Linked DNA regions of Oryctolagus cuniculus. The protein of the gene in region 3 interacts with the protein of the main gene of each other region in a biochemical or structural test. Links are inferred from orthologs where the notes say so. Each region holds a gene or a part of one and is shown on either strand. Other genes may lie near its edges.

Region 1 (6,891 bases), on a different chromosome or scaffold from region 3:
GCCAGGAGCCGGGCCTGGGACCCCACTGCCTGGCCTGGGGTGGGCCTGGGACCCCATTGTCCAGCCTGGGGTGGGCCTGGGACCCCACTGCCCGGCCTGGGGTGGGCCTGGGGGGCAGGGGCCAGGAGCCGGGCCTGGGACCCCACTGCCCGGCCTGGGGTGGGCCTGGAGGCAGGGGCCAGGAGCCGGGCCTGGGACCCCACTGCCTGGCCTGGGGTGGGCCTGGGACCCCACTGTCCAGCCTGGGGTGGGCCTGGGACCAAATTGCCCGGCCTGGGGTGGGCCTTGGGGGCAGGGGCCAGGAGCCGGGCCTGGGACCCCACTGCCTGGCCTGGGGGTGGGGGCTGCAGGCCTGGGACCCCACTGCCTGGCGTGGGGGTGGGGGCTGCAGGCCTGGGACCCCACTGCCTGGCCTGGGGTGGGCCTGGGGGGCAGGGGTCAGGAGCCGGGCCTGGAACCCCACTGCCTGGCCTGGGGGTGGGGGCTGCAGGCCTGGGACCCCACTGCCTGGCGTGGGGGTGGGGGCTGCAGGCCTAGGACCCCGCTGCCCGGCCTGGGGTGGGCCTGGTGGGCAGGGGTCGAGGGCCACAGGCTGGGTGCCCCACTGCCCGGCTTGGGGTGGGCCTTGGGGGCAGGGGCCAGGAGCCGGGCCTGGGACCCCACTGCCTGGCCTGGGGGGTGGGGGCTGCAGGCCTGGGACCCCACTGCCTGGCCTGGGTGGACTTGGGGGGACAGGGGCTATGAACCAGGCATGGGACCCCGTTGCCCAGTCTGGGGGGTGGGGAATGCAGGCCTAGGACCCCGCTGCCCGGCCTGGGGTGGGCCTGGTGGGCAGGGGTCGAGGGCCACAGGCTGGTTGCCCCACTGCCTGGCTTGGGGGACGGCGGGGGCCGCAAGCCATGCTGGGGACCCTTCTGCCCGGCCCGGGGGTGGGGAACGCAGGCCTGGGGCCCGGCTGCTGGCCCGGGGGCGGGCTGACCGGCAGCCGCGTGCAGGTGGACGGGCTCCGGCACAGCCTCCTGCGGGCGGAGGAGGACTGCACGGTGGAGCGCAAGCACACGCTGCGGCTGCGGCGCGCCATGGAGCAGCGGCCGAGCCAGGAGCTGCTGTGGGAGCTGCAGCAGCAGAAGGCCCAGCTGGAGGCGCGCGTGCAGGACCTGGAGGCCGCGGCGCAGGTGGGGGCGCCGGGCGCCGGGCGGGCGGGGGCGGGTGGGCGCCGGGCGCCGGGCGGGCGGGGGCGGGCGGGGGCGGAGCCGCGCGGGACGGCCGCTCTGTGTCCAGCAGGGGACGCGGGAGCGGAGCAGCCCCTACGTCCAGGTGCTGGAGGAGGAGTGGCGGCAGGTGCTGCGTGACCACCAGGAGCAGGCCGGCACCGTCTTCTCCCTGCGCAAGGAGCTGCGCCAGGCCGAGGCCCTCCGCGCCCGGGTAGGAGGCGGGGCCCTGGGGGCCGGGCGCCCTCCCCGCGGGGCGCTGAGCGGCCGTCCCCACAGTGCGCGGAGGAGAAGGAGGTGTTGGACCTGCAGTGCCAGGCCCTGCGCAAGGACGCCCGGCTCTACAAGGAGCGCATGGAGGCCGTGCTGCAGCAGATGGAGGAGGTGGCCCTGGAGCGGGACCAGGTGTGTGGGGGCCCAGTGCCCTCCCCGCTCTCGGGGTCTCCCTCGGTGCGCCCCTCGGCCACGATGCACCCTCAGGGAGCTGCTCTAACACAGAAACCAGCACCTGGGGGGGGGGCCCTGGGGGCGGAGGAGGACTTGCACACACACACACACACACACAAAGAAGAAGAGCGGCCGGGACTCGGAGGCAGGCAGCGGCAGGGCTGGTAGGCGGGACCTCTGGCTGCCTCTGGGTGGCCCAATAGGGACAAAAATGGATCAAGTCCCGGCCGCGGGGGCGCTGATGGGCCCAGACTCTGCCCTGCCCCTGCCCGTGGCCCTGTTCCCTCTGTGTGTCGGTGTCCCACGGCTGGCCGGCCCCCAGTGGGGACAGGCGGGCGTCTCACACAGCACAGACCATCATGCTCCTTGTTTTTGAGATTTTATCTCTTTGAGAGGTAGAGAGAGAGAGAGAGGTAGAGAGGTCTTCCATCTGCTGGTTCACTGCCCAGATGGCCGCAATGGCCAGAGCTGCATTGATCCGAAGCCAGGAGCCTCCTCCAGGTCTCCCACGCGGGTGCAGGGCCCAAGGCCTTGGTCCATCCTCCACTGCTTTCCCAGGCCACATCACAGAGCTGGATCGCAAGTGGAGCAGCCGGGACAAGAACCGGCGCCCATGTGGGATGCCGCCCTGCAGGCTTTAACCGCTGCGCCACAGTGCCAGTTCTTAAGCTTTGCTTATTTGCGGGCAGTGGCAGCTCTTCCATCTGGTTCGCCCCCACTGCCTGCAACACCCGGGGCTGGGCCAGGCTGAGGCCAGCCCCAGGGGCTCCGTCCGGGTCTCCCCCACAGCGGGCAGGGCCCAGTACCCCCAGGTGCGTTAGCGGGAAGCTGGATCAGGAGCAGAGGCGGGGCCTGGTCCCAGGCGCTCCGACCCGGGCAGCGGCCTCACGCAGGGCGCCGCAGTTCCCCAGACGCAGACCCAAGTCCACGGGCAACAGCGCGGGCCCGGCCCACGTGGCCGGCTCGTCGCAGAGCCGTGTCGGAGGCTCAGGGCCCACGCGTGTGTCCCGCAGGCCATCGCCACGCGGGGGCAGCTGCACTCCCAGCACGCGTGCAGCCTGCAGGAGAAGGACGCCCTGCGCAAGCAGCTGCGGGAGCTGCGGGAGAGAGCGGACGAGCTGCAGGTGCAGCTGCTGCAGTGCCAGAGCCGCCTGCTGGCCGCCGAGGGCAGGCTCCAGGGGCAGCAGCCGGACACGCTCGCCCTGGTGGGCCCCGGGACACGGGGGGGGGGGGAGGTGGGCCCCAGGACACGGGGGGGGGTGGGCCTCAGGGACCCCAGGACACGGGGCAGGGAGGGGAGGGGAGGTGTGGTGGGCCCCCAGGACACGGGGCGGGGGGAGGTGCTGGCCGCTGAGGGCAGGCTCCAGGGGCAGGAGCCGGACACGCTCGCCCTGGTGGGCCCCCAGGACACGGGGGGGGGGGGAGGGGAGGTGTGGTGGGCCCCCAGGACTCGGGAGGGGAGGTGATGGCTGCCGAGGGCAGGCTCCAGGGGCAGGAGCCGGACACGCTCGTCCTGGTGGGCCCGGGGACCCCAGGACACGGTGGGGGGGGAGGTGTGGTGGGACCCCAGGCGGGGGGGGAGGGCCCATTCTGGCTGGGGGCTGCAGGAGGCGCAGCCTCCCCTCGCCTGCTGACCGGCCCCTGTCCTGTGGCTGCAGAGCTGGGACCTGGAAGACGGCTCGCCCAGGGACTCGGGGGAGGTGAGCAGGGCCCCTCCCCACACCAACCAGGAAAGGGGGCCGGGCCGGGTCTGGGGAGGGGCAGCGGTGACCTCGCCCTCTCATCGGAAGCTGCAGCTCCCCGGGGACCCGGAGGACGCCCGGCCGTGCGACAAAGGTGAGGAGGGCGCCGTGCCCGGCCCACACCTGGTCCCTGCCCGCACGGGAGAGAGGCTGGGCACAGGGACTGTGACCTGGACAGCCGCTGCGCGGGGCCGGGCTGGGGCCCCCACCCTAACCCAGGGAGGACACGGCAGGCCTGTGGCCCCCAGCCTGCCCTCAGCCAGGAGGCGGTGACAGGAGCCCGTGGGCGGGGCCTGGGCGTTGATTGGGCAGAGCGGGATCCGTCAGCAGCCTGGAGGCGGGGCTGGGCGGCAGGAGGACTGGCCCGCGTGCGTGCGTGCGTGCGGTTCAGGTGGGCGGTGGGCCCAGTGCGCGGTAGGGGGGTCCCTGGGGGAGCCAGACCGACTTCCTCAGCGTCAAACGCGACCCAGCCTCTGGGCAGGAGCAAAAGCGGAAGCTGCAAATGGAGAAGTGTGGGTGGGCGGGCACTGGCCTCGAGGCCACGGAGCCCCGCGTGGCCGAGGCGGGCGGGACCCAGGTCCAGCTCAGCTCTGCCCAGCGGTGGCAGGTGCGAGCCGTCCGCGGCCCTGCAGGCGCGCACACGTGTGTGTGCCCAGGACACGGCCGAGGCCTGGCCACCGGCGCCGAGTGGGCTCTGGGCCGCCCCCAGGGGCCGTGGCGTCCACAGCTCTGCCGGACCCACGACACGGGACTCCGCTCGCAGGTGGCCTGGGGGTGACCGAGCCGCACAAGGAGATTTCACCGAGCCCCCACGTAAGGCCAGGGGCGGTCCCCCACCCCGGGAGCCCCCAGCCCAGAGCCCCCTGGACGGCTGGGGAGGGGCGCGGGAGCCTCGGCCGGCGCTGAGCCCGCCCCTTCCCCAGGACGCGGGCCTGGGCAGCGAGCCCCCGGAGAAGGAGCGGCGGCGGCTCAAGGAGAGCTTCGAGAACTACCGCAGGTGCGCGCAGGGCTGGGGCGGCGCTGAGCGCGCGCCTGCCCACCGCGGCCCGCCCACCTGCGGCCCTGCCCACCCGCGTCTCCGCAGGAAGCGCGCGCTCAGGAAGACGCAGGACAGCTGGCGGCACGGGGAGGTGGACCGGGACAACACGACGGGCAGCGACAACACGGACACCGAGGGCTCCTAGCGGCCCCGGGACACACCCCCGCGGGGACCCCCCTGGAGCCCGGGGCTCCCGCCGTGGGGGCGGGGGGTCAGCCGTTGTACCCTCCGCCCGAGCACAGCAGGCGGGCAATAAAAAGGCACCTAGAACGACCCGCGTCCGCGTCCTCGCGCGCGTGTCCCGCGCCGAGCCCGGCGTGCGGGGCCCGGGAGGCCGGCGCAGCGCCGCGAGCCGCCGCGAGGGGGCAGCAGAGCGCGGCACCGGAAGTCGGCGCCGCCACTTCCGCCCGCCCCAAGATGGCGGCGGCGTGACCGCGGCATGCTGAGGGCGGCGCTGGGGCGCGCTGCGGGGCTGCTGGGTCGCCCGCGGCCCCAGGGACCCGGCCCGAGGCGGCTGTGGGGCCGCGGGGCCCGCCCGGCGGTTGCGGGGAGTCGGCGGGCCGGGGGCTGGGCCTGGGGCTGGCGGCACTCGAGCTCGGAGCCGGGGCCCCAGGCGGCGGGGCGCGTGCAAGCGGCGCACTACCAGCTCGTCTACACCTGCAAGGTGGACTTCCGGGAGGGGCGGGGCCGCGCGCGCGGTGGGTGGGGCTGCCCTGGGGGCGGAGCCTCCCTGAAGGACACGGCTCGCAGTGGGTGGGGCTGCACTCGGGGGCGGCTCCTCGGGGGCGTGGCCGGCTCCCAGTGGGTGGGGCTGCCCTGGGGGCGGAGCCTCCTGGAAGGACTCGGCTCGCAGTGGGTGGGGCTGCCCTGGGGCGGAGCCTCTGAGGGGCGTGGCGGGGCCGCCCTGGGGGCGGAGCCTCCTGTGGAGGACGGGCCGGCTGGGGGGGCGGATCCTCAGGGGCGTGGCCGGGCTCCCGGTGGGTGGGCTGCCCTGGGGGCGGAGCCTCCTGCTGGGACGCGGCTCCAGTGGGTGGGCCTCTCGCCCTAGGTGTGCGGCACTCGCTCCTCCAAGCGTATCTCCAAGCTGGCCTACCACCAGGGCGTGGTCATCGTGACCTGCCCCGGCTGCCGGAACCACCACATCATCGCCGACAACCTGGGCTGGTTCTCGGACCTGGGCGGGCAGAGGTGAGACCGGTCTTCAGTGCTTGTTTTATCGGGGCGAGGGTGTGGCCGGCAGGTTAATCCGCGCCACGGCCCGCACGGCGCCCACTCCAGCCCAGGCCCTGCACCCGCGTGGGCCCTGGTGCCGCTCCTGGCCCCCGGCTTCCGGGTGGCGCAGACCTGGCTGGGTGGCATCCCGGGGGGATGGAGGGCCCTTCTTCCGTCTCTGAGTTGCAAACATCAGCCTCACCGGTATGGAGGCGTGTCAGCTCCCATCTGCTGGTCACTCCCCAGATGACCACCACGGCCGGGCCGGGCCGGGCAGAAGCCGCTCCTGCTGCCTCCCAGGGCGCACCTGAGTGGGAGGCCTGACCCAGGGCCCTCCCCCGCCCCCCGTGGGACGCAGGTGCCCCGCAGCCAGCTGTGTCCGCACACCTGCCTGTGCGCGCGCCCCCGTGTGGCAGCCCCAGGTCTCGCCTCCGCCGGCCGCCGCCTTGGCGTGGAGCCCTCTAGCCCTCTGGCACCAGGGACGGGCAGGTGTGTGCCCGGCGGGCGCACCTGGGTGCTGAGCTGTCTGTGCCCGGGACAGGGCGGCAGGAGCAGCAGGTGCAGAACCGCGGTGTGTGCCCGGCCCCTGGGCTGGTCACAGCTGGGGGTCTCCACTTCTGGGCTCTGGGGGGCCGGGGCCGGGGCAGCGAGGGCCAGGGGAGTAAGCCGCCCCGTTTTCAGGAACGTCGAGGAGATCCTGGCCGCCCGAGGGGAGCAGGTGCGCCGGGCAGCTGGCGAGGGGACCCTGGAGCTGACCCCCGCTTCCCCGGCCGCTCCAGAGCGCGGGGAGGACGAGGACGCCGCCCCGCCCGGCAGGACAGAGCTGAGCTGACCCCGCCCCCCTGCTGTGGGCTCTCTGGCTCCTCCCCTTTTCTGCCAATAAACGACATCAGCTCCTCGTGCTGGGCCAGTGGCTGCTTCTCCTGCGCCAGGACTCCCATGAGCCCCCGGTGCTGTGCAGGGCGCACGTGCAGCCACAGGGCCCCGGCCTCCCCGCCGCCCCTCCTGGGAGTCAGCGGGCGGAGCCCAGGTGGGCGGGGCTCCGGGTGGTCTCGGCCACAGGCCAAGCGAGCGAGCCGGGAGGCTGTGGAGGCTTCGGGGCTCAGGCAGCGGGCCATGGGTGCGGTGGGCGCGGTGCCCGGCCCGGCCGGGGGCTCTCGACGCGCTCCTGTGGGCGGCGGTGCCCAGCCCGGCCGCGGGGCTCTCGACGCACTCCTGTGGGCGGCGGTGCCCGGCCCGG
Region 2 (7,610 bases), on a different chromosome or scaffold from region 3:
TTCGCACGGGCTGTTACCATGAAACTCTGGTCCTGCTCCTTCACGGTGTCCTGCATTGCGCTTTCCAGCTGGGTGCAGAGAGAATGCGCTTCAGCCACCAGGTCTTCACTAGAGAAAACGACCAAACTCTTAGGCAGTGGGCACTGTCAGTTAGCAGAGCTGACACTACTGTTTTAAATAGGCTAACAAGCTTTTGACAATAATTTAAAGATGACGCCCCAACTGTTTGACCCTGGGTGTCTGAGACCACCACCACGGCACTGGGTAGAGACCACATTGTCTCCTCAGGCACTGGTCAGGGGCCCAACGCAGCCATGAGCATCACCGGTCAAGACGCGAAGGAGCAAACAGATCTCTGATAAAAAGTCGGGAGGAAAGGAGCTCTTCCTGGGGCTGGTGCTGTGGCGCAGTGGGTTAACGCCCTGGCCTGCAGCGCCGGCCTCCCATATGGGCACTGGTTCTAGGCCCGGCTGCTCCTATTCTGATCCCGCTCTCTGCTATGGCCTGGGAAAGCAGTGGAAGATGGCCCAAGTGCTTGGGCCCCTGCATCTGCATGGGAGACCCCGAGGAGGCTCCTGGCTCCGGATCAGGTCATCTCCAGCCGTTGCGGTCATTTGGGGAGTGAATCAGCGGAATGGAAGACGTCTCTCTGTAACTTTTTCAAATAAATAAAGTAATTCTTAAAAAAAAAAAAAAAAGAGCTCTTTCTGACCTACCACATATTACAAGTTAACTCTCCAAACTGCCAGAGCCTAACGCTATCTCCCAAATCACCTGATTTCCAATTTCCTGAGACCTGCTGAAAACCAAGCTCTGGGACGTGATTCCGCCTGATGCGACCTCCCTGAGTAAGCTCAGGAACGGGCCCCAGCGGGAAGAGGAGAGTACAGGAAGTAATGCTTCCTTCTCAGACCATCGCCTCTGCACTCCCAGGCCTTTAGGGCCCTCAATGCTGAGTATGTCCTCACTCTGCCAAATACAGCATTCCAAGGAGCCTGGAGCGCGTCCGCTAAACGCCGTCCACAGGCCGCCAGCTCACAGCTCAGTGCCAGCTCCAGAGGGCAACAAGGGAGGCCACGCCCGCTTGCTCTTCCCCAGGGGCTCACAGAGGCCGAGGAGAGTAAGAACCTACGGTCACGTCAGGGCGGGCATTTGGCACCACGTTTACGGTACCACTTGGGACACTTGCTGTTACCGGCATTTGGGGAGTGAACCAGTGTGGGGAGATCTCTCTAGGTCTCTATGCCTTTCAAAAACAAAACCACAATCTGTCGTCCTGTAGGATTAAGTACCAAAACAGGCTACAAACACTCCAAGGACAGAAACAGATTTTTAAGAACAGCCTGAGATAATCATTTGTATACCACAAAGCTCACCTGCTTAAAATGTACAATTCAGTGGCTTTAGCATATTCACAAAATCACGCAGCTATCAGCATATCTTGTTTCAGGACATTTTCATCCTCCCTGAAGGAGACCTTCCGCCTATCATCAGGCACTGCCCACCACCCTCTCCGCCTGCCTGAGGGACTCGTTCATCTACTTCCTACTCCCAGAGATTCGCCTGCAGGAATAGATTTTAACGTCTCCAGCACCCAGTGTCTGGCATACAAGAGATGCCGAATGAAAGCCCCATAGGAAGAGAGCGCTAGCATGTGCCCGGGTGCCCAAGGCTTCCAGTGTGGTGGATGCAGAGAGACGCAGACGTGGCATGGTGAGGGGAGGGACACCTGTGGCTGAGCTGGAGTACTGCGTCCCAGGCTTCACGTGCGTCAGAATCGACCAGGGGGCGCACCAAACGCAGACTTGCTGGGCCTCAGCCAGAGCTTGTGATTCCAAGGAAGACTGGCTGGGCCTCAGCCAGGGCTTGTGATTCCAAGGAGCCCGGGTGGGATGGGAGAAGGGCCATTCCCACAGGACTGCGGGTCTGGGTGGGACTAAGAAGCGGACTAGCACAGGGGCGAGCAGAACGGTGCGCAGATCCACGTGGAGGTGGCCACCACCGCCCGAGGAAGTCCAGACCCGATCTCTGAGATGGGGAGGGGAGTGAGAATGAGCTGCTGCCCACGAGATGACTCGGCTGCGATTCGGGGAAGACTGATCTGGCAGGAGAGGGCTTGGCGGCAGCGAGGAACAGGAAGCCGGACATGGGGAGCCCTGCAGGGAGGGCCTGGCCCGTTCTGTCCACCTGCAGTGCGCTGGATCAGGCAGGGGGACCGAAGAGGGGACGAGAGGCACCGAGCAGCTGGGTAACTCAGGGAGAGGTGAGAAGACGGTGACTGGCGGGGGGGGGGGGGGGGACCGTGGTGTGGGGAGGGCGCCCCCGGAGGGAAGCTGCTCTGGAGGCGGCTGGCACTCACCACGTTCTGGGTAAGCAATGAGGCACAAGGAAGCTGGTGAGGGACTATTTGGGGCCTACGCACATGGTACTTTGAAGCATTTGTGGAAAATGGAAAGAAAAGATGTTTATTTTTATACCCCCAAAATGCTGAAATCCATGTATTTGAGTGGTTTTCCCAAAAAATTCCTGAAAATGTTGTTTTATGAGAAAACGAGGCATGGATTTCAACTTTTTTTTTTTGCGCCAAAATAAACTTTAATCCTTTTGCACGACGTTTTGCAGCACCCTTGTCTAGAGCAAACACAGAGCGTCTGCAGGTCATCAGCCTCCCCACGCCCACAGTCTCCAGCCGCACCCCCTTTCACCACGGCTTACCTCTTCTTGACCGGCTCAGGCAGGCTGTCGGAGGCAGGGGAAGGCTGAGACATGAGCTGACCAGGGTGGCTGAGCCGAGACGCGTTCATGCTGTCCGGACTTCCGCTGACAGGACCGCGGACCTTGCTCTAGGGACGAAACCGAAAAGAAAGTCAACAGCATCTTGGAGCCAAGTGATGAGGCCAGGTGTGCCTTCCGACCCCAGCACCTTCGCACGGCACCACTGCTGGTCCCGCCGTCCCTGGCCCCACGCCAGCGGGTCTTTCACACAGGCCTCTAAAGAGTTTCTTTCTAGACAGGAACACTCACTGGGAGAGGATCCGAAACAGGGAGACGTGCTACTTGCGGGCTTTATCTCATTAGTTTGATTCCTGCTAAACTCTTAGAAGAAAAGAAAAGGAAGGTGTTTTGTTCTCTTTTCTAAGACTGAGACACGTAAAAGGTTCCAAGGCTCTCTGGGAAGGCACCATGTTCAGCACAGCTGACAAGAAAATCAAGGTGTCTGGGACTGGCACTGTGGCACAGTAGGCTAAGCCTCCACTTGCAGTGCCGGCATCCCATATGGGCGCCAGTTTGAGTCCCGGCTGCTCCACTTCCCATCCAGCTCTCTGCTGTGGCCTGGGAAAGCAGTAGGGGACGGCACACATGCTTAGGCCCCTGCACCCACATGGGAGACCTGGAGGAGGCTCCTGGCTCCTGGCTGTGGCTTGGCCAAAGCCTGGCCATTGTAGCCATTTGGGGAGAAAACCAGTGGATAGAAGATCTCTCTGCCTTTCAAATAAATAAATACATTTTTTAAAAAGCCTACTTTGTAGTAAAAGATTTATTACAATACTGGAATAGTCACCATTGCTGTCTCCTCAAGGACAGCCTCTCCCCAGCACCACCCAGCCCGCCAATCCCGGCCCGGGGCTTGCGCACGTCCTCCTCCTTCAGCTGAAACCACACGCGCCGGCTACCTTGCTTGTTGCTCCCTCCGCTGCATCCGCGCGGCTCCCACGCCTGCCGGAGCTGCTTCCTGCCCTGCCCCGCCCTGGGCTCACTCTTGTCCTTGCTGTGCCCCTCACTGGCCAGGAACTCCCGAGGACCGGCGCCATGCCTTTCCCCGGCACCTCCCGTTCTCCACGCTGCTGGGCACACGGTCAGCATTCAGTGAATGCCGTGTGCATGCAGGTGGCAGACCAAGCCGTCACCTGTGTGAACCTCGCCTTCCCTCTCTTTCTCTGATGCTCCACCTCATCATCTCTCCTTTCCCACAGGAGGAAATGCCACTCACCCCTACCCCAGGCCAGCCACTGCTCCCGCGTGACCTGCATAAGCCTTCCTTCTCAGGAGTGTGAATCACTGCCCCTCTGACACTGCCCCCGCACCTGTGCCCACCATACGCAGCTAGCTCCCTCTCCTCCCCTCGGCCCAGAAGGCTGCTGCCGGGTAGCCCGTGCGCCCCTGCCACCCTCTCCCGCCGCCCACAGCCTTGCAGGACGGGGCGCGCTCTCCCTCAGCTCTGGCTTCCAGGACTCTGCCTGCCTCTGCTCCTTTCTCTCCTTCACTGTCCACCTCCTCCCCGAGCTGCACTCAGTGGCGTGGCGGCTACACAGATGAGGGACACAGAAAGCATGGGCTGCGATACTGCAGGTGCAGGTGAGGATCAGCCAGGGTGCACTGGCACCCACTATTATAGTGGCCTGAATGGGTGGCCTATGAAAGATACGCCCACGTCCTAACCCCTGGAAAAAGGGTCTTTGCACATGTAATCACGTTAAGGACACTCTGGACTGTTCGGGCGGGACCCAAATCCAATGTCTCGTGTTCTTGTGAGAGACATGCAGAGGGAGACACGGACACAGACGTGGGCAGACAGACAGGGACTGGAGTGAAGTGGCCACGAGCCACGGCAGGCCTGCACCACCGGAGGGTGCACAAGGCGAGAGGGGACTGGCTGCCTCGCCGTGGCGCTAGCACCCCAGGCGTCACTTCTGTTGTGAGCCCCGCGCTGGCTATCAGCTACCAGACGCAGCTGCCGGGGGTTCTGCGGTGGCTCTATGCCTCCCCTGCGGGATGGGGCCCGTGGCACGGTGGGAGGGGCAGGGCCTAAGAGGCCAGCGGGTCAAGGTCCGGGCCAGGCCTCACTCACACAGGCAATCTTCAGGAGGTTCCACAGCTCCTTCTGCCGCTTCTCCTGCAGCCGAACCACGGTCTTCTCGTCCTCGTTCATCAAGCTCACCACCTCCTCCACCTTGGGCAGCAGCTCCAGCGCCTTCTGCTTGCAGACCACGGTCTTGCTGCAAAGGAGAACCATGCCAAAGCGCAGCGGCGTTGAACTGCGAAGCGGCTGACTGGCGGACGCCAACACTTGCTTCTCTGGCGGCTGAGCAGACCAGGGCCGGGCCGGGCTGGGCCGGGCCGCTCCCCACCCTCTCCAGGGGCCAGAGTGGGCCGTACCTGAGCTGCGTGTAAATCACCCGCACTTTCTTCTCAAAGCCTTGGATGGCCTGCAGCAGCAGCCGCACCATCTCCTGGCTGTCGCCGTCCGTGCGCTGGTCTGAGGACAGGGACACAGGTGCGGTTCTGCAGGGCGGCCAGCAGAGAGCGCCACGTCTCAGCAGCCACACCAAGGCTGCCCTGGGCAGACGTGGAGCCCCACTCACCTCGTGGTTTTTCTCGCAGCCGCCTGTAAAGCTCCCTGGCTTGCTCCTCTCTGCAACGTAAAAGAAGCTCCGTTCAGACCCCAGGTCAAATGCTCGCGCTCACCCATCATGACTGCTGACTGCTAGGAACAGGGCTGGCAGGGTGCTGTTTCTGTTTGTTTTGGAGACAACAGGGCGGGGACTGTCCAGCTTTGCCGGCCTTACACGGCCCACAGAATCATCTGGTCTGGCCCTGCAGGCAGGACTGGGAAGCCACTCAATCTACAGCGAGCTATCAGTTGATAAATGTGCGTGGCCTGCAAATGATGTTCTCAACAGCCAAGTGTCCCTGGGCAGAAAAAAGGTTCTGCAGCCTTGGAGACAGAAACAGGGAGGTCCCCCAGCTCAGGGCTCACCCTCCGACCACCCACGATGGCCAGGGCTGAGCGGGTGCCAGGCCGGAGCTGGGAATGCAATCCAGTTTTTCCATTAGGGTGACAGGGACCCAACTACTTGAACCATCACTGGGTCTGCATTAGCAGGAGCTAGAGCCAGAGGCCAGGCGCAAACCTAGGTCTTCCTGGCGATCTACCATTCCTCAACAGAGACCCAGGTGCCACCGCTGGGCCTGGGCCCCGGAACATGGCTCCCCTGGGAACACTCAAGCCCAGGGGGTGGGGGGACCCGGAGTCCCATCCCTGTCCCTTAACAGGGCCGAAACTGATTGACACTCTCAAAAAGGGTTATCCTTTGAACACTGGAAGAGAAGAGGATTAAATAACTACAGAAAACCCAGGACAAATAACTGAGCTTCTGGCACTGACTTCTTGACCTAAATGTGACAAACGCTGCTGCCCTCCCTGCCCAGCTCCCCCTGACTGCGCACAGTGGAGTGGCCTCCGTGTCACTTCCCCCATGGAGGACTGGTCCACCTGGTTCCTCTGCCCCTCCTCGGGCCCAGATGAACAGCTCCCAGGCCTGCCTTCTGTTCTGCGTTCCGCTCGTTGAGCCACCCTGTGTGAGCCGCGGTGTGGACGCAGAGCCGCCTCTCAGCGTGGGCGTGGACAGGGCCTCACGCCCCTGTGACGGCACGGCGCCCTTTCTGCTACTCAGCAATGTGGAATCGAAGGCTCAGAGGGCCGGCGCCTGCCTGGGCTCCTCGCAGGCACAGGTGGGACGGGCCCACAGAGCCTCCCGAGCCGAGGGAAGGTGTGCGGGCACTCACAAGTCGTCCAGCGTGCCCCCCTGCTTCCGGCCCATGGGGCTCCTCTGCAGGTCCACGATGTCGGTCTGCAGGGCCATCATCCGCTCCACAAGATGCTTCACTTCGTCCTCCTGAGGGAAGAGCTGTGCTGACGCCACCCGGCAGCATCAGAGCGGCCCGAGACGCACGTTTGCTGGGGCGGCAGGGTGGGGGCCAGACCCACACAAGACTCTCCACCGACTGGCTGGGCAGGACGCAGACCCCGGAGTCACCTTGGAGTCATGGCGCCTGGGTTCCGCTCTCCGTCTACCTCTCCCTAGCTGTGCAACTGCGGGCAACCCTCAGGTACGGCTCCCTCATCCCTAAAACACACGTCTCCTAGGGCCACTACAGGGGCGACGTGAGATCAGGGCGTGCGAGATCAGGCACAGGGTCTGGTATCTGAAGGATACTGAATACGCACGGCCTTCGCGTCTCTGAATCCGTGCATCCGTGTGGTGTGCACGGATGACGGGTCCCAGGGCCACGGCCGGGTGAAATAAAGGACTGTCTGGCCAGCACCCACCCCGTCAGTACAGGTTCCTGAAAGCAGGCACCAGGAGTGCACGGGAGAGCCGTGACAAAGCTGTGCCGGGTTCCTGTGCTCACGCTTCCTCCCTCGCCTTCGTGGGCACTATCTTTTGGCGGCCCCTGATTGGCACTGCAGGGAAAAGCCTTTGGCCTAGTGCGTGCTGGTCATTCAACCAGGAGGTCTTGGCTTTTCTCCGAGGGCGCTCAAAGCCTCGCTCCTCAGTTAAACCTGCATCTTCTCTGCCCATTCGTATAGCTCTGTGAGGAGCTACAGCAGGGCTCCCTTTACTGCCTATTCTCTCTCTCTCTCTCTCGGAGCTCCCTTCCAGCGAGTTTGGTGAAAGTCAAAGAACACAGCAAAGAAAACGCGGTTTCTGCCCTGAAGATCAACCTGGCATTTGATGCGAAAGCAGGAGAAGGCGGCAGCGAGCCTCATGCCCTTGGCAACACAGACACCCGAGAGTCTCCTACCCGCCCACACAGCTCCACGGCCT
Region 3 (7,610 bases):
ACTCAAACCCAGGCACTCAGATATGGGTTGCAGAGGTCTTTACAACTGTGCCAAATGCCCACCCTGAAACCATCTTTTAAGTATCTCATTAAATTATATGGGGCTTATGCCAAGATATTTTCTGCAAGAATGAAAATGATAGAGGAGGCCGGCGCCACGGCTCAATAGGCTAATCCTCTGCCTGCGGCGCGGGTACACCGGGTTCTAGTCCCTGATGGGGTGTCGGATTCTGTCCCGGTTGCCCCTCTTCCAGTCCAGCTCTGCTGTGGCCTGGGAGTGCAGTGGAGGATGGCTCAAGTCCTTGGGCCCTGCACCCCATGGGAGACCAGGATAAGTACCTGGCTCCTGCCATCGGATCAGCGCGGTGCGCTGGCCGCAGTGCGCTGGCTGCAGCGGCCATTGGAGGGTGAACCAACGGTAAAGGAAGACCTTTCTCTCTGTTTCTTTCTCACTGTCCACTCTGCCTGTCAAAAAAAAAATAAAAAAATAAAAAATAAAAAAAAAGAAAATGATAAAGGAAAGAATGTGAACATGTTAAGAAAATAGCATTAATTAGTAAGGCTAATATGAAATGAATTTAGGTAAACCGCTGAGGCTTTTGGTGGCTGAAACTCCACCACAGGTAATATAAGGAGACCTTGTACATGCTTGTAAGACCAACTGAGAGGAAAAGAGATTCTTTTCAGTATATTGGCGATTTTTCCCTCAGTGATTGGCTTCATTTCCAGACAGGAACTGCTTAATGCTGAAAATTTACTGCTCAATGGTTAGAAAGGACCATTAGAAAATTCCTAGCAAAAAAATGCAAAGAAAATTTGCAGCCTAAGAATCTATCTTCAAATAGAGAAATGGTCCTCATTAAAATTAGTTTTAAACATGAAAAATCCGCAAACACTAAAGCACCTAAAAGGGAAAAGTACAGAAAATACTGAAAAGTACATGATCCACAAGACTGACATTTAGCTATCCTGAAAGTATACTTCTTTTGCTCTAAAATATTCTATTTACAAAGTATGCTTAAAATTGCATTTTTGAAAGACACATATCAAATGTAAATAAATCACTGTAGAAGTTTATAAAAAGATTCATATCCTTTAAAACATTTTTTGTTGTTACTGAACACACTAAAGGCAGTATGCTGTCATTGCCGTGAAAGAGCGCGTGACCGTAAGGGAAGAAACATCTCGCTGGAGTTCGCGCAAGTTCCTTGCTCTTCTAATTGCAGCTCCGGTGGCAAAGGAGGAGCTCCAGGGTCCCCAGGTCTGGGAAGTGTGGTTGAAGAGAAGATGGTATTTTCAGTTCTGCCTACTTCTAGAATAGGCAAATTCAGAGAAGAATCAGTAGAGAAAAAGGGAGCCGTGCTGGATTCTCCTTCCGGATGGTACATGGCGGTGGACGCTCTCCGTTTCTCGGAGAAAGTACTCTCATCTGAATTGGATCTAGATAAGTTGTTCGTGGCTCCACCAGGGAAAGGCTCACAGCTGCTACATTTGAGTCCTATAATTAAATCATTCAAGTGTAAATAGGAAAGTCTCAAGAACTGGCATCTACCCCCACCTTTGTAACTTTGTAAAGATTACCAGCCAGCTGCCACACAGTCAAATTTTAAACAGCAACTTATATATTCTGTCATAATCCATTTCAGATCTAACAGTCATGAAGTGGACTTTTATTTACATTTTCCCTAAAAGAAAATAGTCTTAAGGGAGCTAAAAGACATGAAATTCACATTTCATGTGTACTTACATACTCAACCACTGAAGGACCCAGAAAAAATAAAGCAGCCTCCCCAAATTTTCCATAAAATAATAAGGTATCCATACCCCTCTGTTATGCTTAGCAAATAATCAGCCTAACTGTCCACAAGGCACAGAAACTCCTGAGTTGACAAATTTTAGGTAAAACATGAAAAATCCATGAAGTCCACTTACATGTAGCTTTTCCCACTACTTTCCTACTTCACAACATTCAGTATCTGTTTTTTGTTTATTTTCATCTACTTGAAAGGCAGAGTGAGAAAGAGAGAGACAGAGACAGAGAGAGAGAGAGAGAGAGAGAGAGAGAGAAAGATAGGAAGACAGAGATCTTCTATTTCCTGGTTCACTTCCCAGATGCCTACAAGTCAGACTTGGGCTAGGCCAAAGCCAGGAGCCTGGAACTCCATCCAGGCCCCCACAAGGGTGGCAGGGGCTGAAGCACTTGAGCCATCATTTGCTGCCTCCCAGGATGCATTGGCAAGAAGCTGGATTGGAGCAGAGCAGCTGGGACATAAACCAGCACTCTAATATAGGGTGCATGTGTCCCAAGTGGTGGCTTAATACGCTGCCCACGCCTGCCTTGCATTCATTATTTCTGTCCCACACTACATAAATTATCTTCTTATATATGGCTCACAAGGGGTACCTTCCAATGTGTCCTATCCAGCAAGGACAGGAGGCAGGACCCAGGGTACACATTAGCAGGAAGCTGGAATCGGAAGTGTAGCTGGCACTAAAACCAGGCATCCAATATGGGATGCAGGTGTCCCAAGCAGCATCCTTTTTTTATTTTTTTTTATTTATTTATTTTTGACAGGCAGAGTTAGGCAATGAGAGAGACAGAGACAGAGAGAAAGGTCTTCCTTTGCCATTGGTTCACTCCCCAAATTGCCACTACAGCCAGCGCACTGTGCCGATCTGAAGCCAGGAACCAGGTGCCTCCTCCTGGTCTCCCGTGTGGGTGCAGGGGTCCAAGTACTTGGGCCATCCTCCATTGCCTTCCCGGGCCACAGCAGAGAGCTGGACCGGAAGAGGAGCAACCAGGACAATATCCGGCGCCCTGACCGGGACTAGAACCTGGGGTGCCAGCACTGCAGGCAGAAGATTAGCCTAGTGAGTCACGGTGCTGGCCCCAAGCAGCATCTTAACTGCTGCACTAAATGCCTATCCATAAGCTTAAACTTTTAGAAGCAAAATATCACTTCTAATTTTTTGGTTTGCATTCTTTTTTAAAAATTTTTTATTGGCTGGTGCCGCGGCTCACTAGGCTAATCCTCCACCTGCAGCACCGGCACACCAGGTTCTAGTCCTGGTCAGGGCACCAGATTCTGTCCTGGTTGCCCTCTTCCAGTCCAGCTCTCTGCTGTGGTCCAGGAGTGCAGTGGAGGATGGCCCAAGTGCTTGGGCCCTGCACCCGCACGGGAGACCAGGAGGAAGCACTTGGCTCCTGGCTTCGGATCAGCATGGTGCGCCGGCCGCAGCGGCCATTGAGGGAAGACCTTTCTCTCTCTCTCACTGTCCACTCTGCCTGTAAAAAAAAAAAAAAAAAAAAAAAAAAAAAAAAACCAAAGATTTTTTATTTTAAGGCAGAATGAAGAGAGGAAGATCTTTCATCTGCTGGTTTATTCCCCAAATGGCCACAATGGCAGAGGCTGGGCTAGACGGAAGCCAGGAGCCTGGAACTCTATCTAGAGTCTCCCACACAAGTGATGGGGGCCCAAGCACTTGGGTCATTCTCTGCTGCAAAATTAGCAGGGAGCTAGATTTGAAGTGGAGCAGCCGGGATGCAAATCCAGCACCCTTATGGGATGCCAGTGTTGCAGGTGACAGCTTAACCCTTTGTACCAAAATGCAGGACTCTTCTTTTGCATTTTAACAAAGCATTTTTGTGGCAGGTGCTATTGCACAGCAGGTTAAAGCCACGGGTTGCCCTGCAACACTGGCATCTCATGATGGCACTAGTTTAAGTTGTGGCTGCTCCACTTCCAATCCAGTTCCCAGCTAATGTGCCAGGGAAAGCAGTGGACGATGGCAAGTCTTTTGGCCCCTGCACCTACACAGGAGACCTGGAAGAAGATCCTGGCTTCGGCCTGATCCAGCCCTGGTCATTGCAGCCATTTGAGGAGTGAACCAGCAGATGGGACCTGTCTCTGGTTCTGTCTCTCCCTTCTCTCTCTCTCTCTCTGTAACTCTGTTTTCCAAATAAAGAGAAATATTAAAAAAAACAAAAAAACAAAAAAAACAAAACTCCACAAAGCATTATTACACTTAATCCTGAGAAACTTAACATATCTTACCTTTCAGATGTTCTAGTTTGATATTTCTAAGTTTCAGCACTTCATCTGTGATCTTCTGTATCAGGAAGTTCTGTGTTTTTTCTCGTCGAATAGATTCAACGAGGGTGTCTAGTCCTTTGGGGTTTTCTTGTAAGTAGTCTAACAGTTTTCCAGCCCTCTTTCTACTTGATGTTCGACAAGAAATTTCTTCAGTGTCTTCTCTACTGAGTATTTTTTTGGCACGTAGATGATCAAAATGTCTCTCAGCAATGATTTTTTCACACAGGTATACACGCAAATTTTCTAGAGCCTAAAAAGACATAATACATGCTTCAGTGTTGTTTTCTCAAACCTAAGGAAATCACACAGGTGACTGATTGTTAGGAACCTTTTCTGATGGAAGGTGCTGTTCTGAAGTCGGGAGGCTCAGGCCCTCTGAAACCCAAGCTAATTAAGCTGAAGGTCCAAGGTTATCCATGCAGGTCCCCCACATTCCTCCCTGGTTCAGCCCTGCTCTTTTATAAATATAAAGCTTTTATTTAATAAATATAAATTTCGTAAGTACAACTTTTGGATTATAGCTGTTCTTCCCCCTATACCTGCTCTCCCACCCCCACTCCCATCCCACCTCCTACTCCCTCTCCTATCTCATTCTTCATTAATATCCATTTTTAATTATCTTTATATACAGAAGATCAATTCTATACTAAGTAAAGATTTCAACAGTTTGCACCCACACAGACACACAAAGTATAAAGTACTGTTTGAAGACCAGTTTTACTGTTAATTCTCATAGTACAACACATTGAGGACAGATGCCCTACATGGGAAGCAAGTACACAGCGACTCCTGTTAACAACTGACACTCTTATTTGTGACGTCAGTGATCACCCGAGGCTCTTGTCCTGAGTTGCCAAGGCTATGGAAGCCTCCTGAATCCACAAACTCGACATGACTTAGACAAGGCCATAATCAAAGTGGAAGTTCTCTCTTCCCTTCTGAGAAAGGTATCTCCTTCTTTGATGGCCCCTTCTTTCCACTGCTCAAAAATAAACGAAAAGGGGGAAATGTGGTGGAATGAGAAGGCCATGCCAAGGTGGCCACTGGCAAGTGAGCATCAGTTACCCAGGAATGGCTTTGAAACTGCCTGGCAACAGGCTGTGACTGGTTGGGGCATAGACCGCCCCTTGACCAGACTGGCTGGTCTTGGCTATATAAGATGTTGTACCAACTGTAATAAACGAGTCTGCGGGCTGCTCGCCTCAAGCCTGCTTTCACCCGACTCCCGGGGTCTGTGTGGTGACTCTGCGCCTCTTGCCCCCACCACGCTGCTCCTCTCCGAAATGAATCCACTGCAACACTGTTGAGAAATCAACTGCAACACACCAGGATCTCACTCATAGAGATCTTTCACGTAGGTCATTTTTTGCCACAGTGTCTTGGCTTTCCATGCCTGAAATGCTCTGGGGGCTTTTTAGCCAGATCTGAATGCCTTTAAGGGCTGATTCTGAGGCCAGAGTGCTGTTTAGCTATTTGTCATTCTGAGTCTGCTGTGCGTCCTGCTTCTTATGTTGGATCATTCCCTCCTTTTTAATTCTATCTATTATTATTAGCAGATACTTGGTCTTATTTATGTGATCCCTTTGACATTAATCCTATCTTCATGATCAGTTATGAACTTAAACTGATCACTTTAACTAGTAAGATGGCATTGGTAATCTGCCAACTTCATTGGATTTGGAGTCCCATGTTAGCCCTACTTTTGATTTTACCTTCACAACTAAAAACCAAGACCACGTTACCGAGAAGAGGGGCCTGGGTCCTTGGCAGTAAGCAGGCCTGCGGATGGCTACCTTCAGGGGTTAAAGACGAGAGCAAAAAGGACTGTACACTGTAATTACCATTTAGCAAGGAATTCAGAATTATGAACTGGGAGTATGTTCTCACAATTTACAACTTTCTCACGTTTGTACTTAATTATTCCACTTCCCTAGAGGAAAATTATTAACAATAAAACAAAAACAAAAATCTTAATTAAAAGAATCCGACCTGTATCTGTCTTTGGGGTCTGTAGGAGAGGCTAAACTCTAAGTCAGTGAGTCTGTCTTAGTGGAAAGGAGATGGAAGGGTGTATGGAGATAGAAACCTAGAGAAATAACAGGTTCTGGAAAAACTGAAGAGTTCAAGAATACCACAGAAACCAAGTCTATGTATGGAAAGTGCCTAAGGGAGCTTAATTAGCAGAAAATCCATGTTGGTCTCAATAAATTGCATTAACAACTGATGTCAGCAACTCTATTTTAGCACCTCCCTTTACTAGGCCTGTGATCTCGGGTAAGTTACTTCACGCCTCTGTGCCTGTTTCTTCATCTGTTATGCAGAACACATAAATTAATATATGCAAAGTGCTTTGAAAAGTGTGGTATTTGGGAAGTATCAATATATGTCAGAGACTATGACCACGATAATTCATCTGACTCACATTGATGATGAAGATTTCAGAGGCACCACAGTGTGTGGTGGCAAGAAGCTGGGCTAGATGAAGGGTTGCTGCAGTTCTTGGTCCACTGAGCTCCCACATTCATCTACTCACACACAGACATTTTATAATATGCCAAGTGCTGAGCACTGACTATATTTAGATGACAAGATATGAATCCTGGATGCAAAGGGCCTTGGTCAAGTTGGGAAATGTGTATTACACGAAACCAGTAATTTTAAGACAATATGATACAGCCCAGGGAAAAAAAAATTATAGTCAACTGGGGAAACACAGATTAAGCAACTCCATCTCCAAGAACTGGGAAATTTACAGAGGCATGGAGGTGCACAGAATTCTGGGGTAGAGTACACATGGCTACTGAGAAGGGAGATAAGAAATGAAGTAGAGAAGGAAAACTGGCATGGCTCATGGAAGATTTAAAAAACTTTTGTTTTAAACATGTTGTTATTTGGGGAAAAGGGGGGAGAGGGAAGGAACTTGGGGGAGGGGAGAAAGAGGGAGACAGACAGACACTGAGAGCTCCCAGTGGTCTTCTCTCTCAGATTCTTGCAATGGCCAGGGCAGGAACCAAGAGCCAGGACCTCAATACAGATCTCCCATGTGAGCTGCAGGAAATCTAGTAACTTGAACTATTACCCGCTACCTGGCATTTGCATTAGTAGAAAGCTGGATTCAAGATCTGGAGCTTGGAACTGAACCAGGTACTTTGCTATGGAAGGTGGGTGTCTTTTTTTTAATTTATTTTTTTGACAGGCAGAGTGGACAGTGAGAGAGAGAGACAGAGAGAAAGGTCTTCCTTTTGTCGATGGTTTACCCTCCAATGGCTGCCGTGGCTGGCACGCTGCAGCCAGCGCACCGTGCTGATCCGATGGCAGGAGCCAGGTACTTATCCTGGTCTCCCATGGGGTGCAGGACCCAAGGACTTGGGCCATCCTCCACTGCACTCCCTGGCCACAGCAGAGAGCTGGCATGGAAGAGGGGCAACCGGGACAGAATCCGGCGGCCCGACCGGGACTAGAACTCGGTGTGCCGGCGCCGCAAGGCGCAGGATTAGCCTAGTGAGCTGTGGCACCG

What was found.
Region 1: the proteins of BCL10 (region 3) and CARD9 form a complex in vitro, tested with the Homo sapiens proteins (2 studies listed by BioGRID). The link is inferred for Oryctolagus cuniculus from reciprocal best matches to the Homo sapiens genes BCL10 and CARD9.
Region 2: the proteins of BCL10 (region 3) and IKBKB form a complex in vitro, tested with the Homo sapiens proteins (2 studies listed by BioGRID, with this or other methods). The link is inferred for Oryctolagus cuniculus from reciprocal best matches to the Homo sapiens genes BCL10 and IKBKB.

Annotation. Positions count from the first base shown.
Region 1 is NC_091432.1:236,667,871-236,674,761, forward strand, and holds the end of CARD9 (caspase recruitment domain-containing protein 9), read left to right. Parts: intron 1-995; coding exon 996-1,175; intron 1,176-1,281; coding exon 1,282-1,425; coding exon of another isoform or gene 1,426-1,490; coding exon 1,491-1,616; intron 1,617-2,671; coding exon 2,672-2,863; intron 2,864-3,316; coding exon 3,317-3,358; intron 3,359-3,448; coding exon 3,449-3,494; exon of another isoform or gene 3,495-3,791; intron 3,792-4,109; coding exon 4,110-4,213; intron 4,214-4,323; coding exon 4,324-4,584; 3' UTR 4,585-4,712; downstream 4,713-6,891. Other genes in the region: DNLZ (DNL-type zinc finger protein), read left to right, coding at 4,879-5,103, 5,488-5,627, 6,333-6,483. UniProt on the Homo sapiens protein: Adapter protein that plays a key role in innate immune response against fungi by forming signaling complexes downstream of C-type lectin receptors.
Region 2 is NC_091433.1:92,508,226-92,515,835, reverse strand, and holds part of IKBKB (inhibitor of nuclear factor kappa-B kinase subunit beta), read right to left. Parts: coding exon 7,588-7,610; intron 6,678-7,587; coding exon 6,568-6,677; intron 5,414-6,567; coding exon 5,364-5,413; intron 5,284-5,363; coding exon of another isoform or gene 5,258-5,283; coding exon 5,158-5,257; intron 4,998-5,157; coding exon 4,850-4,997; intron 2,844-4,849; coding exon 2,716-2,843; intron 699-2,715; exon of another isoform or gene 109-698; coding exon 18-108; exon of another isoform or gene 1-17.
Region 3 is NC_091438.1:85,921,422-85,929,031, reverse strand, and holds part of BCL10 (B-cell lymphoma/leukemia 10), read right to left. Parts: intron 4,344-7,610; coding exon 4,055-4,343; intron 1,498-4,054; coding exon 1,142-1,497; 3' UTR 1-1,141. UniProt on the Homo sapiens protein: Plays a key role in both adaptive and innate immune signaling by bridging CARD domain-containing proteins to immune activation.